Linked DNA regions of Oryza sativa Japonica Group. The protein of the gene in region 1 interacts with the protein of each later gene in a biochemical or structural test. Links are inferred from orthologs where the notes say so. Each region holds a gene or a part of one and is shown on either strand. Other genes may lie near its edges.

What was found.
Region 2: the proteins of flowering time control protein FCA (region 1) and flowering time control protein FY form a complex in vitro, tested with the Arabidopsis thaliana proteins (3 studies listed by BioGRID). The link is inferred for Oryza sativa Japonica Group from reciprocal best matches to the Arabidopsis thaliana genes FCA and FY.

What each region holds. Positions count from the first base shown.
Region 1 is NC_089043.1:5,817,439-5,820,805, reverse strand, and holds the end of flowering time control protein FCA, read right to left. Parts: coding exon 3,367-3,367; intron 3,284-3,366; coding exon 3,206-3,283; intron 3,118-3,205; coding exon 2,590-3,117; coding exon of another isoform or gene 2,575-2,589; intron 2,474-2,574; coding exon 2,297-2,473; intron 2,216-2,296; coding exon 2,006-2,215; intron 1,525-2,005; coding exon 1,465-1,524; intron 1,392-1,464; coding exon of another isoform or gene 1,386-1,391; exon of another isoform or gene 1,370-1,385; coding exon 1,331-1,369; 3' UTR 1,323-1,330; intron 921-1,322; 3' UTR 530-920; downstream 1-529. UniProt on the Arabidopsis thaliana protein: Plays a major role in the promotion of the transition of the vegetative meristem to reproductive development. Plays a role in the regulation of flowering time in the autonomous flowering pathway by decreasing FLOWERING LOCUS C mRNA levels.
Region 2 is NC_089035.1:42,529,877-42,534,176, forward strand, and holds the start of flowering time control protein FY, read right to left. Parts: upstream 2,812-4,300; 5' UTR 2,688-2,811; coding exon 2,468-2,687; intron 2,363-2,467; coding exon 2,271-2,362; intron 2,029-2,270; coding exon 1,960-2,028; intron 1,185-1,959; coding exon 1,080-1,184; intron 526-1,079; coding exon 430-525; intron 353-429; coding exon 270-352; intron 148-269; coding exon 76-147; intron 1-75.

The DNA of each region.
Region 1 (3,367 bases):
GCATAAAATTTTCATTCTTTTGAAAGTTTGACTAATGAAGTTTGCAATGCATAATCACACCAATGTTAGTTAATTAATGGCTTGTCGCGTCGGACACGTTTGAGAAGAAATTTCAAGATGTGTTATTTCAACTCTTCTTATGCATTCCTACCTGGTAGGTGTAACTTCCTGCTGCTCTAGGTGGTCTTGATTTAAAAAAGGTACAGCTTAGCTACACGGGCCCAGATATGTATCATTGTGGCTTTTATAAATCCTGTACTTTTCTCCTGCATTGTTCCAAAAAAAAAGTGTTCTCCCTCTTTTTGTTTATATCCGTGAATTTTTGTTTATATCTCAATTCGTATCTTAAAACGTTGCACATACGTCTCCAGTTTAGTCTATCAAAAATCTTGGAACTGCGACGTCACATCATTGTCCAATGTAACGGGCTTAATAAGATGTACTCCAAAGATAACCATGTTCTAATCGATGTGAGAAATGGCCCACGTCGGTCGGCCATTGTAGTTGGGAGCGGACAAACATGCTGATTCCCGCCGCGGCCAAATCTATTCTTATCTAGCATGTCTTGAGAGCAAACAGCTTTCAAAGGAGGAAACAATCTAAATGATGATTGCTGGGGACATGTCATGAAATGCCCAAAATCATACTAGCGACGAACCTCTGGCAGTTGCCTATGCAAGGAAAGCGAACATTCTAATCAGCAGAAATGTTACAGCGGTACAAGGCCTAGACTGCAAACATTTTACACGGATTGGAGCTACAACTTTTTAGACATCAATCTAAGCTATATCCAGAGTTACAACGATCGGCATGGCCGCTTGGCCACCACTCAGGCATCAGGCACCGTCAAGGCATTTGATGGAGGCAGCAGGTTGAGTGGAGCTCATTTCCGAGTAACAGCTTACCAATTTATCATTCACCTGAAAAAAAAGAGTAACAAGTTAATCATGTGTCAGTACACGCTGGTCCGTCCGATAACACAACAGCATTTATCTCATTGCTTTTTAAGAAAAAAAAATCTGCTAGAAAATGGATCAAAGGAACTAAAATCCCTCAAGTTCTCTACTTCTCGTCAAATAAAACTATCTGTATCTCAGCATCGCATGTAAAGATTTGATTCAGGTCACCCTTTTAAACATGACAGCAGTTTCTCATTACAGTTTAAAGCATACAGTTTCAAAAAACCACTGTTGTTTTACAACCCAAAAAAAAAATCATTTTTCTTGCACTGCATTCCACACAACATGAAATGGTCACTGGTGTTTACTTTCATATAGTTCACAAAGAATGCCATACTGAGGGTAGGTAGGTATTTTTCTCACCTTCAGTCTCAACTTTTCCAAGCACGTTCTTGTGCAGATTGGATGCCCTAAATGTTACCGAGATTAATTCTGTTAATTGAAATTAATCAATGAAGAATCTAAGATCAACATATTGAGAACAAAAAGTAATGTTAAATAGTACCTGTTGTATCCTACTGGGATCAATAGCACCAGGAGTCTGTAGCTGAGTATAATTCAATTCCTATATAAAATGTTTGAGATGTAAAATGTTCAAATCTTACACAACTTACAACTTCAAATGTAGATTTAAGAGACAGGAAAGTTAAAATCTCAACAGTAAAGTTCATTCAAATTTTATCGCTATTATACAGTGTTTCAAGATCATATATTCAACAAAGAAGTTTTTGTCTCTTGAAGCGGATACAACCTGACGTGTCAAAAGTGCTGATAGACAAAGTAATCAAATCAAAGTTGAGAATGAAAAAATAAAAGGTTTGAATACATAGAAGAAGCACATGTACTGAAACACAGTGCTAGGTAGAAACATTCATTAGAATAGTTTTCTTGGTTTGACAAGACTCAAGAAACAGAAAAGGGATCTCTTTAATGAGCTGGCAACAGGAAAGAAGGAAAAAGATAGAAGCAGAATATAGATCATGCGAAGCTGGAATCAAATAGTAATGTGCATATTAGAATTATAGCTCAGGGAACAGCATGTGCACCTGCTGTTTCATCTGCATTTGTTGCTGTCCTTGTTGTGCCTGAGGAATTTGTTGGACAGGTTGCATTGCTGGATGTGTCTGAGCCTGAGGTGGTGACTGAAGTTGCTGCATGGCAAGTTTTTGTTGGTGCTGTTGAAGCAAAAGTAGTTTCTGCTGTTGCTGCTGCTGTTGCTGTTGCTCATACAGCACATACTCTTCAGGCTTATCCCACTGTAAAACAATAACTCTAAGAGTGAGACCCACAAATGTTGCGATCTTTAAAATGATTGGTGATGAGTTTCAATTCTTCACCTTACTCTCTCGAGTTATGCTATTGTAGTAGTATTTAAAACCTTCAGGAGACGTATGTTCAGTCCAATTGCAGGTTAAAGGAACTGCAGGTGAAGTAGCCTGCTGGGGAATTGTATTAATGTTTGATGGAATAATGGCATTTGGGGCACCAGGGTTACTAGATTGCACTGGCTGACCCTGTAGTGGAAACAGAAACGGTTAAAAAAAATGTCAGCCGTAAACCACATTATACAACTAAACACAAACCGCGTACACATTGGTGTATGCATAGAAAATACATGTTGCTCAGCGACCTGTGTGGGTTGTTGATGGTTTAGATTCGATTGCTGCTGCTGCTGCATTAGTTGCAGCTGTTGTTGAAGCTGATAAATTGCCTGCTGTGAAGATTGATAACTGGATTGCAAAGCAGCTTGCTGTTGGAGTAGCAATTGTGGTGCTTGCGATGGCATCTGCTGCACTGGCTGCTGAAGCATTTGTGGTGCAACATTTGAGGGAAGATGCTGTTGCCCGGGAATAGCTTGCATGGAATTGGACACGGCTGAAGGCACCTGCACAGCGCTGACGGAAGCATTTTGTTGCATCAACGGCTGTGACACAGGAAGCTGACCAGATAACCTATTCTGGCCAAAAGAACCAGGACCCATAGATTGTGGAACTTGAAGCTGACCAATCTGTTGAGCAGGACCCTGCAAGGGTTGTCCCAGCTGATTATTCTGCAATTGAACAGGGAAATTCTGAGGCAACCCTGGTAGCTTTTGCAAAGGTGGGATCTGCTGGCCTCCCAGATGATGGCCTTGTGCCATGGGAGGAGGGTTCATGCCCTACAAAGTAAAAGGTATCATGATGTTTAACCGATATTTTCCATCTAAAGCTATTGATGAACAGAAAAAGTCGAATATCCCAGTTTACCATATGTGACGAACTTGGCACAGCTGTTTGGCTTGACAAAGAGCCATTTCCGCTGAACATCTGAGGTCGAAAAGTGGCCTATGATATTGCAGTATCAAAGGTAAGCAAATGGAAGCAAACAGAATTGAACTGTCATAAAAAGATTGATTTGAACCACATACC
Region 2 (4,300 bases), on another chromosome or scaffold:
ATGCATTGTAACAGAGAATGAACATTAACTTGGTATAGGTAAAGTAAAGAAAAAAGCACATGGGGCTGCCATCACCTCAAGTCACGAACTGATTCTCTGTGAGCTGTTTTATTAACTTTAACATTGTTCATGTTACTTTGCCAATACCTACAAAGGAAGTCAAAACGTGCACTTGACATGTCAGTGAAAAGATCAACATGTTAACTTAAGGATCAGTATCCAACAGGGTGACAGACTGACAGTGATAAAAATTCAAAAGGCCAACATACTTGATTGCACCACCATCATCACCAGTGACCATCCAGTTCTCATTGTTACTCCAAATCATTGATCTTACAGCTTGGTCATGAGCCTATTATCAAATTCCTCCAAAAATCAGCAAACTCAATGACACATTACTAGAAAATCTGGAGCAAAATTATAGAATACCTGAAGGATCATTTCAAAATTAAAAGATTGGCCATTCCATAGGGTGAATTCACCACTCTGTGATCCCGTAATAAGCCGACGCCCTGTGGGAGTCCACTTTATCAACAAATAACGATACATTAGACACATAAATGACAAAAGGAGAAATCATATTTAGCCTAATAATATCAACGTGGTACACAATATACGAATTCAGTTAGATTACACCAATATAAAGATACTTGGAATGGAGTTATCAACCCTCTGCACTAGCTGGTGTAAAAAAATTGGAACATTTTTCAAACAGTGTGTGAGCCTATCAAGTGACATTTTAAAGTTGTACTGCCATCAATCCTTAATTCTACCATAAAAAATGTAGAAAACAAGTAAAAATATAATATACCATCAAATATATTTGATTTAAAATGGTAAGAGTAGCTGCCTACAGATAAATATAAAATTAGATTTCAGAAGAAAAGGAAGCTCAGCAATAAGGTGAATGGTGGTGAACACCTAGAAGTTAGATCGATTCTATAGTTTTCAGCATTCTGAAGGTATCGCTGTCCTTCAGTGACCATGCACTAGCCAAGGCTTAGTGGAGCTCTTTGAAAAATATAAAAATAGCAGTTGGGATACTAGGAAAGCATAGAGATGGATATCATAGAACTCACCAAGACCCGATTAATAGAGCATCGGTTCTTGTTTATTGATGAATGTACAAATTTTGCAGCAAAACTTGTTGAGGGATTATCGGGGTATGCAACAGACGGCAACATCTGAAAAAAAAAACCCACATTAATCAGGATATCCAGATACCAGACAATGTATTCAAAATACAGTAGATACAGACAATTTCATAATCATCCAAACTGAACAATTAATTCATCAAACTTAATCATCTTTTGTCCAAGATGACAGCACTACCCAGTAATCAATCCAAAACCCTTAACCAAAATAGCAGCACTCAGCTAATTAAAAGGAATGAGACATAAGTATGTTCTACGTAAAATATTGCCTGAAGACTGAAGAGTTAAAGATCTAATTTTGTCAGCTTAATCCATTGAGCACCCTCAGTTTTACGTTGTACCATGGAGGATTTATCTCACATATATATCATAAATAACATCCAGACAGATTTACATAGTTGTGGCAAAACTGAAAACTTATGCATTAATTAGCAAGCTAAATGGCCCAAAAACAACAACCAAAGACAGGATCTGATAGGCACTCTCCCTAGATAGCAACAGGAGTTTGATTAATCCACATACAACAATCCATTCATACAACAATATAGTTTTCTTTTTCTAAGACTATCATTTTTACTGCATAACATTTCCGTTTAACCAGAACCTTGACTCAAGAATATTCAAGATCTTCCCAATCATGAGATTGCAAAGGACATCAATATAATGTACATAGTGGTTTGTTGAAATCCAAATTACAAAAGAAATGTGAGCGTCAGAAGTATAAAAGTCTAAAAACAGAAAACAGTATGGCAACTATCTTTTAACATGTTGGTTACAAGCAAGGCAAATGGGTAAGGTAACATACGTCCAGAACAGCAGCTGGAGTCGGCTGCACAGTGGGCCTGTCCCTAGCATCCCGCTGCCACATGCGAGCCTGCATGTCATATACATAATGGTGATCAGTGCTAGCAGAAGAATAAGAAAAATACAGGGTGCTAGATCTTATTGCACAGAAAAATCAACTTATGAGCATTTCATATTCATGTGATGTTTGCAGCAGGCACAGTAAAAGGAGCATATAGTAAGCAAAGTTCAACTGTATAATAGGCTCCCACAAAATAGAACAAAACATATATCACTATAACTGCTTGAGAAATAAGTTTGTTATATTTATACTTGAACATAACGGACGACTGTGCTTGTGTAGTCCACTGTTCGCCGCTGGACAGGCTTCCGCATCCTTTTAGCACCGAAATTGTCCCCATAAGCTGAATTGAGCCAAAATTACGATAACATAAGAACGCGCACCAATACCGCTGCTGTGCCCCTAACCCTAGCCAGCGACGAAACTACCAAAAGAGCGGCACTGTTACCGTCGTACGGCGGCTGGTTCTGCTGCGGCGGGGGGTGCCCCTGGTGCGCGGCGTAGTCGCCGGGGATGTTGGTGGAGGACGCCGCCGAGAGCTGCCGCATCGGCGGCTGCGGCGGCGGGCCCCGGTAGAACTCCCCGCCGCCGCCGCCCCCGGCCTGAGGCGGCGGCGGGTGCTGCGGCGGAGGCGGCGGCGGCGGCGGCTGCTGCTGCTGCTGCATCATCTCCGCCGCCGCGAGCCCCGCCGACCTGAGCTAGGGTTTTGGATCCGTGCGGCGCGGGGGTTCGGGGTTCTTCCGCCGAGGAGACGCCGCGGGAGGGTGAGCTCCGTGAGGCGAGTGGTCGAGTGCTGTGCTGCCTCGCTTGCCTCGCGAGATGTATTTGGGCCATACAGGCCCACTCTGGCCTCATTTAGATGGGCCTTCAAGGCCGGCCCATCCACGTTGACGGCAAGGATTTTTAGCCCATGCGAGGCCTCTCGTGTATTTAGCTCCTGTTGCTTCCAAACCAAGGTGCCAATATTTAGCAGTCCTAAATGATACTGAGGCAAAAAGGAAGCATTTTGCAAAAGTAGAGTTTCGTCATGAAAATCGGGCTTGTAATTTTGATGCTCACAACTTAGCTAAGTTTGCTTCTACTTTACAGGAGGGGCGTTATCTTTGGTTCTCAAATCCTCCTTGTAATATGAATAGGAATGTAAATGTGGATGGTAATAAATAAATTATCCGCTCTTTCTAAAAAAAAAAAAAGCTCCTGTTGCTTCCTCCAAATAAAAGCAAACTCAAAGTAGTTTTTCTCTAAACAAATATGCGAATGGTCTAGTGCTTCTTTGGATGAAGGGTTTTTACTTTTTAGGGGAGAAATTTTGTATTTTTAGATTCCGTAGGAGATTCTACTATATTTCATGGGAATTTAAACATTCACCTAGTCTAGGCAAATCAAGCTATATAACTTCAAATTATCATAATCAATAGTGATAGTTTTATTAAGATTTATATCTGCCTAAAAAATCCATATCCGGCGAATTTTATGTCAGACACAACACGTTATATTTTCCCCCACGTCCTAAATATATGTGTTTTTGCACGTGTATTGATTTTTTGTGCTTTTATATTCCTATATATTCTATAAAAAAAGATCATTAGGCATAGATCCTCTAGACTCGTTCTGGTATTGTACATGTGGGTTTCTAGTTGAATTTGATAATTTTAGCACCGATGTCTAGTTGTTTACATAATCTAATATTATTGTATGAGTTTCTAAGTGCGTGCATATCCACGTACCATGTTGTAGTTATTGTTGAAAACGTAAAAATGAAGTTGTCGTCGACCTTCTCTTTAAGACTTTGTTTGATTCAGTTTAGGATTATTATATTCTAGATTATTATAAATAAGTCGAAACAAACAGATAACTTATTATGATAATTATTACAATCTATGAGCCAGATTACTATAATATGGTAATCCACTCTAAAGGTGCTTTCTTTAATTATTGGGTGGCTAATAGCTAATAACGATCCGGTGTTGAATAATCAAGAATTTCCCTATCTTTTTTACCAAAAGTATCCAACAGTCCAGTAGAAACAAACAACTAACAGATTATTCTATGTCGGTTTATTATAATCCAACTTATTGTAATATGGCTCAATAATCTATATTATAATAATCTTAAACCGAAACAAACAGAACCTAAATCACACTTCTCCCACAATGAAAAAAAACCACCCACTGTAAAACAGTGTCATTTTGAAAATCACTAGAAAAAAAGGGACAAATAAAACTGAACCATATAAAATATTCATCCTAATTCCTCTTAGTCATACTAAAGATATAATGTT